Arabidopsis thaliana: one gene and its partners. The protein of the gene in region 2 interacts with the protein of the main gene of each other region in a biochemical or structural test. Each region holds a gene or a part of one and is shown on either strand. Other genes may lie near its edges. The genes, in order: AT1G07650, AT4G22730 and AT1G49100.

What was found.
Region 1: the proteins of AT4G22730 (region 2) and AT1G07650 form a complex in vitro, tested with the Arabidopsis thaliana proteins (one large-scale study listed by BioGRID).
Region 3: the proteins of AT4G22730 (region 2) and AT1G49100 form a complex in vitro, tested with the Arabidopsis thaliana proteins (one large-scale study listed by BioGRID).

Annotation. Positions count from the first base shown.
Region 1 is NC_003070.9:2,364,971-2,368,729, forward strand, and holds the start of AT1G07650 (Leucine-rich repeat transmembrane protein kinase), read right to left. Parts: upstream 1,640-3,759; 5' UTR 1,454-1,639; coding exon 1,351-1,453; intron 1,216-1,350; coding exon 1,035-1,215; intron 1-1,034. Other genes in the region: DSI-1VOC (dessication-induced 1VOC superfamily protein), read right to left, coding at 2,642-2,764, 2,859-3,021, 3,252-3,379.
Region 2 is NC_003075.7:11,939,038-11,942,796, reverse strand, and holds the start of AT4G22730 (Leucine-rich repeat protein kinase family protein), read right to left. Parts: upstream 1,797-3,759; 5' UTR 1,414-1,796; coding exon 984-1,413; intron 896-983; coding exon 635-895; exon of another isoform or gene 548-634; coding exon 1-547.
Region 3 is NC_003070.9:18,168,392-18,172,150, forward strand, and holds the start of AT1G49100 (Leucine-rich repeat protein kinase family protein), read right to left. Parts: upstream 1,715-3,759; coding exon 1,630-1,714; intron 1,496-1,629; coding exon 955-1,495; intron 806-954; coding exon 324-805; intron 238-323; coding exon 93-237; intron 1-92. Other genes in the region: AT1G49110 (uncharacterized protein), read left to right, coding at 3,322-3,759.

The DNA of each region.
Region 1 (3,759 bases), on a different chromosome or scaffold from region 2:
AAAATGAAACAAATTTACAGTAGTGTTACTGTTTGATAATACAGAATTACAGATCATGGTTGTTCTTATATTATTTTGGATCATAAACTTGTTACGATTTTGATGACAATTTTTTAAAAAGAATTATGATTTTAAAAAATGATCAAACAGTCTAAAGAGACACAAATATATAACTAATTTTTACTAACACTAAATGTTTTTTGAATTATGTAAATCATAGTTTTTTATCTGGCGATTTATATAAAGTCTAGTTATGGAATAGAGCGAAAGTAAACGCGCTATTATCTATTGAATCGTTTACTTTGGTCAACGGGTCAACGACCAGCCTGGCAAGTATAAACTTGTCGTCACAAAGAGACAAATCAAACTTAAAGCTTTTTAATCTTACTTCACATGTGAATTTACATCCACCTAACTCTTAGTTACACTCATTACTTTATTAGTTATCTTAAAACCGATGCTTCAAATTATCGTTTACTATTTACCTTTAATACAAAACGTTAATTAGTAAGATGGTGCTGTCATAAAAAAGAAATAGTAAGATAGTAAAACTATCAACAAGGGATTATATAAGTACAGTAGAATAAGTTTTAGTACTATATAAAAGAGAACGTGACGTTGTAGGCATATAGTTAGTGGTTGTCATTAAAGTGTGAGTTGTGCAGTCAATATTGCAACCAACCTTCACCAAGGAATTTAGTGGTTTTCCCCTTCATTGTCACCATCATTAAACTAGCCACTACTCTGTTACCCTAAAATTCCCCTCTTTTAGCTTAAACTAATTAATGCTAAACATATTCCATGAAAATAAAAAGGAATTCTAACCTGTGAAATTATTTTTAGCACAAACAAACCGAAAAATAAAAACTGTGAAATTCTCCATACTTGTATTACGTACACTTGTTTTACAGACTGTGAAATCCAATATTCGTGACTTGGCACCGACACGCTAAAGATATTTGTAATTTCCATAAATGGGTAAAATTAAAGAGGAAGATAAGAAAGGGAAGGAGGATGAAGAAGAAGAAACTTACATTCTAATGACGTGGCAAGAAGAGTTTTGAGGAAGAAAGGAGCAATCACAAGTGATATTACTCTCAAACCCTTTGGTTGTGTAAGTTGTTACAATCCAAGTGCCTTCACCACTACATGGATCTTTGTTGAAGTCCCAATCTTTCTTCCCTAGCTTCTTCCCTATCTCCTTTAATGCCCTCACTTCCCAATTTCAAACCATACCAAACAACCATCATCATCAAAGATAAAAAAAGTGCTTTGATTTGCAAATCATAGAGATGCACACACATATACAGACGAGAGACAGGACTAGAGGAAGAATCTTTATAGTAGTACCTTCGGCCTCGTGAAGTTTATTGTTGTCGGAAAAACCAAGACGCCCATGGAAAATTAGTGTGAAGAGGACGATGATGAAATATATGCGATGTAAATATATCATTTTTTCTATACAAAATAATAAAATATGGTATCACTTCTGCGAGAAAGCTTGCAAGAGATATAGAGAGAGAAACATTTAGGAAGTGGTGATGGATGAGAAGCTAGAGCTTATTGACCACTTTAGTCGTCAGGATTTAATAAGGTTTGCTGTACTTTGTCATGTTCTCTTAACTATTTTGGTCTTCAGCCCATTCTAATATGTGTGTGTGTAATACTGTAATGTAAACATTATGTATATTATATCAGGACCCAGTGCTACTTTTAAATATCTTTTCTTAAGGTTTGACAGAGACCCTTCAGAAATTATATCCCCAAGCGATTTTGGGATTAGTCCTTGTATGAGATTAGTCTATGTTTTGCTTTAAGAGTACTAGTCTATGTTTTGGTTAAAGATTTATTTGGTTGTTAAAAAGATACAAATATTTCTGTATTATATTAAGAAATAGGAAGTAAAGAATTTTAAATATTAAACAAGTTTCTTATCTTATGTTCAATGTTTTATACTAAGTGTCAGCAATTCCTAAAATTATTTAGCCGGCAAACAATGAAAAGTAGTATATATATGATACCTTCCTCCTAAAATAATTATAAAAATATTTTCAGCGGATAATCGAGTCTCATCAATTATTGTTGATAAGTTCTATTTGACAAAAATCAAGAATCAATTATTGTTATAAAACAAACAATTGATTTGGGTTTCAAAGACCACATACGACAGATCTTTACATTATTGGTTTAGCTACTTTGATAGACAGCCAGTCGTATTAATTTGGAAAGCCAAAGTACTCACAAACATACGAAACTACGACTACGACAAAAGATAAAAAGAAAAAAGGTAAAAGGAACTTTACACTCTCTTTCGTTTGTTATTTTGTTGGGTCGCGGAATCATTTGATAAATGTTTAAGATAACTAGGATAGGAGAAAAATCCAACTATTATGATTTTGATCATAACATCGTTTCCTACTTTGTGTAACGATACTAACAAAGAAAAAACGAATTGAGAGAGGGGAGTGTGGGGACTAGGCTGGACACTTTGTATATCTTTTTACTTTACATGTTGCTTTAAGTAAATATATTCATCAAGACATCAACCATAATTAACAAAGGTACCAAAGTATCTTGTAATATTTATTCATATGTATATAGACTAGTTAATGATCATATTTTACGAGTCTTTATTTTGAATTCACTTAACGTGGCTTCCGATGCGTACAACAATGCCGTCAATGTCTCGCACGTATCCAACCTTCTGCCCCCATTCTTTATCTTCCGGCTTGCTCACTGCCTCCGCACCGTTCTCCACCGCTCTCTGCACAACGCAGCATCTCACTGGTTTATCAACACGTACGAATTGAAGAGTAACAGGCAAATATAGACATAAGTATATAATAATTGATTTCTACCTTGAAAGCGGCATCAACATCAGGGTAACAGAAGCAGACTTCGATGGGTGCTCTTTCACGTGCTGACTGCGTAGCCTGAACCTTCCCGGTTAGGTCGTCGGTCTCATGCTGGTGAAGCGGTGTGAACGCTATCGTGGTTTGCCCGCTCTCTAGCTCCCCCCACCTGTATGTATCAGTTTCTTTCATTCATCAAACATATATATTTGGTGTGTTTGCTTAGCATGTTAGCCAGCGGATCGGACCTGATTATAGGACATCGCACCAATAGAATCTCAAACCCGAGAGTTTTGTTTCATGACCTAATACGATTCTGTCGTTTACATTCCTATGATCGTATCCAACAACACCTAAGACAATCCAACGTAGAGAATAGTAACAATTCATAATACAAACCTGTGGGATTCGTCAAGACGACGGACGTTGTGACCAAAAGCTCTAGAGTAGAATTCTACAGATTTAGCTACGTCCTTCACGTACACAACAGTGTAAGCAAACGCCGGTCTCATCATATTAGCTGCCATTTTTTCCCAGTCTTATGATTCTGATTTCGATCCGATGAAATCCTTGGAAATGCTCATCATCAAACCTCACATAGGATCTCTCTTTACGGTGAGCTCAACACGTGGTCGACAACATGCACCTTCGTGTGTAGGGTACTTGCTGCCACGTGAGCTTTTTGCTCCCTTTTTTGGGTCAATTTGGGCCTACTACTCACATATGGGCCTTTAGATTAGAAAAAAGTCTTGGGTTATCTGTTATGTTGGAGGCTTTTTTTAGTTGTTTAATGGAGTTTACACAGAGAATGACGAAAAGTCGAAAGCCATCTACTACCGTTGATCTTTAAGAACCAACGATCCATATTCTTCTTACAGATTTCACGCGGATCGCAATCTTGGACCGT
Region 2 (3,759 bases):
TGGGTTGCTGATTCAATGTCTTCTAAGTTAAACCTGAAGCTACTATTTACAACAAAGAGATGAGGCTCTTGTGAAAACTCAGCTCCGTTTCTGCTATCACCTAGCGGATCCCATTCTTTAGTGTAGGCAAGACTCACTAAAGGCGATGCACGGAACTCTTTTTGTTGATCTGTGCTTAGTCTTCCCTCGGAAAACTCAGGTGTGTTACTGATCTTTTGCTTCCTTCTTCTGTAGCGAAAGAAGGTCAATATACCAGCACCAATCAATGTTATAGTGACGGTAATCACGCTTGAAATCAAAGCAACTTGTGGGAGTTTCGATGAGGATTTCTTGCAATGTGTTTGGTTGCAATGCTTTTGGAGATATACAGACTCGGGAATGTTGTGAAGAGCTGATTTATCAGTGTCTATTTCACCAGGAGGCTGCTTAAATTGTTCGATATTATTCGCATTATCGAAAGCAGAACAAGCTCTCAAAGAAGGAAAATCGATACCACATAACCCGGTGTTGTTCTCAAACTGGAAGCTCCCATTCAACTTCTTAAGACCTTTGAAGAAACATAACGAAGAAAAAACCGAGTCAAGAAACAGAGAGATAAGCTCTTACAAAGACGTTTCAAGAATCATTAACTCACCAGGAGGAACAAAGCCAGAGAGAGTATTGTTGCGCAAGTCAAGAGTGTCCAACTGAGGAATGTTGGCTAGGGTTTTTGGGATTAAACCTAACAGATTGTTGAAGCTTAAATCAAGCCTGCTTAACATACTCAAGTTTCCTAAAGTCCAAGGAACCTCTCCGGTTAGTTTGTTGTGTTGCAGAGACAACACATTAAGTTTCTTCAAGGATCCAATGTTCTTTGGTATCTTCCCTGTTAAACTGTTGCAACAAAGATCCATAACTGCAACAAAAGACACCACAAAACATTCAAATGGAAGATCGAGTAAACATTCAAGTGAAAGATCTGTGAAACATTATAAGATGCTAACCTTGCAAGCCAGCCATGGAGCCGATATCTGCCGGAATCTCACCAGAGAAGTTATTAACATTGAGATAAAGATCTGATAATTCAGTAAGATTTGTGATCTCTTGAGGTATCTCTCCAGAGAGACTATTGTAATGTAAGTAAAGACCTGACAAACATTTGAGCTCTGCAACCGCCGGAGACAATTTTCCGACCAAACGTTTCCCTTGTAATGATATGTTTGCGACTTTTAGATGCTGGTTACATGCAATTCCTTCGAAAGATCCGTCGCATGGATCGCCGTTAAACGTCCATGAACGGAGAAGCTTGTTTTCAGGGTCAAGCGACGATTTCAGCTCCATTAAAGCCTTCAGCTCTGCATTTCCTCGAACATTCGACGGAGTTGCAAGAAAGATTGAGAGAAGGATCAGTAACGTGGCACATAAGGTAACCATTCTTGAATTTTCTTGTCTCTCTGTTTAGAAATTACTGAGCTTTAGCTCATTTATCTATCTCTCTTATAGAGCAGAATAATCTGTTTTATAGAGCAGAGTAATAAAGGAACGAAATTTATAGAGCAGAGTACTCTGTTTTGTACTGGATTGGGAGCTATCTCTTTGTTAAACGAAGATAGTAACTTTTAGAGAGGGACCAATTTTGTGTCTGTTTCTCGGATTTGGAAAACTGTAACCTTCCACTCTCGTGAATGAAAAGTTATTCTGCAGAATTTTCTTGTTTTGGAGAGAAGAAGAGAAAGAAGCAGAACCTCAGCTGGTGAAAAGTGGGAAGACAACACAACGCATTGAATACACTGTCTGTGTGAGACAGAGACGTATACTGCTTTTGAAAAGGAAAGCCAAATCTTGATGACTTTTTTGGTGATTTTTAACAGTTAATGTTCACATTTGTTAGTGGGGATGTGATGTTATTAGGTGTTTGTTTATTTATTATGTCTATTGCTCGAGATCTTGGTTTATTTCACTTTCTTTGCATTGGTTTATGATTTAGACAGACTTTAAAACATTTTTAGTATATTTCTTCTATATCACAAATTCTATATAAAACAAAAATATGCTTTTTGGATAACCATTTTAGAAACAAACAGAACTCGGGCAAATCGCAAAATCATTTAGCTATTTGATCATAACTTAAGTTTACGAATAAAATCCATAGAACTTAATATCTATGTGTGGTGGTTATTATAAATGGTAAAATGGGTAAAAGTGTAGAGCGGCTTTAATGTGAGAAAACGATCTAACGAGTGAAGTTTATTTAAGTTCATGTTTGGCGATTGAGCACTTTGGCTTATAGTTCATAACTTTTGGAATCATTTCGAAACTTGGATCATCCTCTTCTTCTTTGTCAACACTCCACCTTCCCATTCCCTGCATGTGCCACGTGCACGTGTCTACTCCTGCATACACATACACATACACATATTCATATTTAGTCTCTTAAAACAAGTCTTTGGATGAGAATAGTACTGATTAAAGAATGTTTTTTTTAGATCCATATTTCTAATAGTGGTCTAATATGATTAGTTGATTATATATACTATAAAATATAGTATACTATAAAATATAGTATATATGGTCTAAATATAGTATTTAGTTAATGATGATATCGAGATTTAGAGGACAATTATTCCACTAACTCTCTTTTCTTTTCCTCTAATTATTTGTAGGCTATAAAGTAAATTGATAAAAGATTAGTTATAGAAATGCTATTTGTTGGTACATGTATTCTAACCTAATTGGGTTTAAGAACAAGACAGTTTGACTATAAGCAGAATCCAATGTGGACTGAAACATTCATCTTAATTAGATATTCTTAGATATACTCTTTGATTATATACAAACTTTTATCATATGTCCTATTATACTGATGAATCTTACTATGTGGACAAAACTTAATTCACACAATGAATAAAATTGGTGAAAATGATAACAAAAAACAAATTAGTGAAGTAATTAAGCACGTTAAAACTAAAAAACGAGACTAGTAGATTTGACGACGACGATCGAGTTCAATGTGAAAGCATAAAACCTTATCAACGGCTATAATTCAGATCTTGATTACTTCAAGGTTTTTTAGATGTATACAATAGTTTTAACAAAAAAAAAGATGTATACAATAGCAATCAGACAACTTTGATTTATCTTCAATCATTCGTCTTTTATTTTTTGGCATTTCAAGATGGAAGGAAGACTTTTGAAATACTTTTATCTTTTCGTTAACTACTTTGACCTTTTACTTGATTGTTTTACTAATAACTTTTGTCATTTTCTCCTTTTTCCCACGTCTTTTTGAATCTATATGATGTCTTTTAAAACTTTTGAAAATTTTATATTTAGTATGCATGCTTACTTACATAGTTACATGTATGAATGTTTTATCTAGAACTCTAGTCTCTAGAAGGATATCCACATTATGCTACAAAAGTAATATAAATATCGACCAAAATTTGTGTAGCCTATGTGTCAAGGTTCTGATTTACACTTGAAAATACGCAAATGAGTTCTAGATGATGGAAAAATGATACACTATATCTCGAATGTTTTTACAAAATTATTAGATAGAATTTATCTCTACGTCAAATTGAAATTTTTGACAACTTGTTGTTGCCTTTACAATTTTTATTAGCAAGATCAAGATTAGATCATTATGTATAAATTCTATTTACTCACTTTTCGTTTAATACGCAATGCCATAGAAGTGTCTTGTGATTAATTGAACCATCTCATACGTTCTACATTAAAAAGTTCTTACTTTTTACTTTTTAGTAGTGCTGTATTTTCACA
Region 3 (3,759 bases), on a different chromosome or scaffold from region 2:
TTCATGAAAATAGAATGTTTCAATTGTGATATATTTAGAATAGAGAATTTAATTTTAATTATGATACGGTTATGGTGATTGAAAAATCTTACAAGAAAGTGATTGTTGGTGGAGTGGAACTATTAATATTGCTGCACTTCAAACCAGCCCACAAAAACTGCTCGGGGACACATGGATCTCCTTGCCAGTTAATTCTACTCAATCCATAAGTAAGTTGGATCTTCTTGATAGCAATCACTAGAATTTCATAGTTAATAATATATCAAGAATCAAACACATTCAAAGCTACAATTCATATGTATGAAAAATGTAAATTTACGAACCTTCATCTTGGTTTGTTTCTGATTGAGGAAACTCAACAACAGTAAAAAGTTCAATAGCATTGATGAGAGGAGGAAGAGTTGACTTTGTTGTCTTCACTAGCTGCAAGAGGCAACTTCCTCCTTTACATGTCAATGTCGAATCGGGTTGGGGGCTCATAGTATCTATACTTAACATTTTAGGACTATAAGGTCCATAATAAACTTTTCCATTCAGCAAAACATTGAATTCTCTAGTCTCGTTGGCTAACAAAGTTTGAAGCTCTGCGAAGTGAAGGTAAATGTGAAACCGTGTGGTAGAATCCTCTAAGCTCCATGGAAATTCCCATGTCCCATTATCATTAACACGGGTTGCAGCCGATGCCATTGCACCTTGTGGTAGATCAAAACCATTTGAAGTGTTTACATTGAGAGTTGTGGTTACAATTTTCCACTCCTTATATGAGAATGGGAACCATCTACGGTCGTTGACATCATCGGGGTACCTATACGTATCTTGTATTAGACATAGCTAGACAAAACCTCAAAGATGTTTGGCATCAAAGAAAGATTAAAAATATTTTTATATTTACTCATTATCTTTTATACCAAGATCCAAGAAAAAGATTCATTTCACAAATTAAAGTTTACGTACCGTAAAACGACACCTGAATCATTAAGATAACCTCTAAAATAGAGGAGCAAGGAGCTCCCAATGGCACTAATGTAAGTATCACTTCTCAAAGGTCGTAGCTCCAAGGTTGATATCATCGGTGTAGTTGTTCCTGTCTTAACAAGACAAATATCCAAAGGGGTTGACCTTGACATGTGAATTATCTCCACGAACACACCACCTCCGGTTGCATTAAAATTCACTGTTGTCACCTTATTAGGGCCAATAAATAGATCAAAGTTTGGGACAGTATTAAGACCATCGTAATTTCCATATAAGAAAGCTGCTCTAATCAAGTAATTTGTTCCTTGTGTGACATTCAGGTTATAACAGTTCCGCTCTCCATCTGGAAAGTATCTTAGAGTTACAAAAGCTTTTTCGAAGTTTCGCTCAGAGTCCTTACTGACTCGGCCATTCTTTCCACTCTCGATGAAACTAGAATCCGAAGTGAATGTTAATCCAGTAGATGGATTGGTATATGGAGATCCATCAGGTAACAGACCACAATCCAAAGTGATGAATCCTAATAAAACATTAAACCAAAACAAAAATCCTAATAAGGGGATCAATGTAAAGGAATTATCAGAAAAGGAAAAAACAAATTAAGAAAAAGAACATGAAGAGTGTTTCTTAATTTCAAAGGTTTAAAGATAATACCGTTTGGATCTTGAGCCTGAACAACATGTATAAAAGCAACTGTGATGATGAACACACATAAAACTCCATGAAAATACTTCTCCATTTTTCCTATTTCTGGAGGATAACACGACCCTTGACATCTTTTTAAGTTCCAAAATATTATTTTATATCACGTTCTGATCAAGTGGATACTAGTTAAAGAAACGAAACCCATATATTGTCAACGGCCAAAATAAAATACTAATATGTCTAGAAAACCCTGAACTTTCTAACATTTGCAATTTCACAACATTAACTCAAAACATTAAGGCGCCGTTTTCTAACATTTCAATACAAAATTATTTTTCCTTTAGCCTAATTAGGGTTTTTCCCTATGGGAAACTTTGGCTATAAGTAAGCGTCATTTCAAAGTTCTGTTATCCGACTGGTTTTATTTCAAAGAGCTTAACTCTAAAAATCGTATAAAGTTTGTTGTTCTCTGTGCCAAAAGCAAAAAGAATAGTACTCCCTAATAGATGCTTCTAACAAGTTGGTATAGAAAATTATTCATTTGTGTTTGGGGACATTAAGTTAAGTGATCAACTCCATCTCTTCATATATAGCTGACCCTTACCTTCATAGTTTTCATTCGATGAACATATATATATGCGGATAAGGTAAGTTAATACTGCGAGTGATTATAATTAGTTTTAAAGCATATGGAGAACATGTCAACGAGAGATATAGAATGTTATTTTGAGACGTGTATCCAACTCTAATGATTCTGATTTTTTTTATGAAAAAGAAGGTTGAAAACCACCCAATTTTCAAAAAAAAATTTTAAAAAAGAGAAGTTAGAAAAAAGATGATGATAGTTCACTTGTTCCAACTAGAGAGGCAATCTCCCAAATGGAGATCAAGATCTATGGATGCGGTGTTTGGTTACACGGCAAGAATACTCCATTTAGACTCTAACCACACTGGTCAGACGTATTAGAAAATATGCAATCCTTGAACAACGTTTAAAAAAATAATTGAATTAATGCTAACATTTGATTTAGTTCTATAAAAACAGAGGAATTTTCACACATGCAGTTTAAAATTCCTATATGATAACAATTAAATGTATCTTTTACTTGCAATATACAATATTTTATTTCATGATTTGGTTTTCGTCTAGGAAGTTTTAAAACAAAAACAACATACTATTAATTAATCTCTAATATATTATGTAACATATTAACGACACTATGACAAAGCCCTACAAGCCAGGTTTGCATCGTGTGGCTAATGAATCTCTTTCAGAAGTCAGCTACACTCAAAAATCTGTTTTTATTTCAAATGCTATGCTAAATTATAAAAACAGCTTATATATATACAAAAAGCTATATTTTTTTTAATACAATTTAGTAACATTTTATTTTTAAAATATACTACAGAATTATATTTAATCCATAAATAACTTAAGTCTAAACTACTCGGTTCTTTCGTTTTCTTTATGGGAAAATGAAACAGCGTGCTTCTTATCCCTCTTGGGAAAATGAAGCAGCGTACTTATTAAGGCAGCAACTGAATAGTCTACTTTTTTCACACACTCGCCTCAATTCAGTGTCATTATATAATTTAGTATCTTCCCATATACGCGATAGCGTGTTAGCCAAGGCAAACTCACTAGGGATTTGTCCTCTAAGCCACGAGATGAATCTCCGTCAAATCTACGAAGTTTAATGGATGAAAACAAAAGCCGGTATTGAAGCCGTTGTGGAAGTGCAACGCAGCGAGAAGCTAAAGAGGCGAGCGACATCAAAAGGTAGGACGGCTGCTGAATCGGCTATGATAAGAGCGTTTAACGCTCAATTTGCTGAGTATAGCTCTGAACTAAAGATAGCTCGTGCGGTCATGAAGAAAGAAAGTGATACTGGTGTTCGTCTCCGAGACAAGTACTGGCCAGTTTCTGCATTCGGTGTAGCCATCAATGTTTTGCACGAAGAGGCAGTTCTTGATTTTTGTAGGAAAGAGGGAGTGAAATGCGGTTTGTACAAGTATGTTGAAGGACTGATTGAACGCAAGACGGTGAGTTTTGCTTTACGCGAAGCCGATAATCTTCGGGCTGTTCTCAAGGAAATGGAAAGGTTTGAAGTTCCGGTTTCGTCTATGGATGGAAATTGT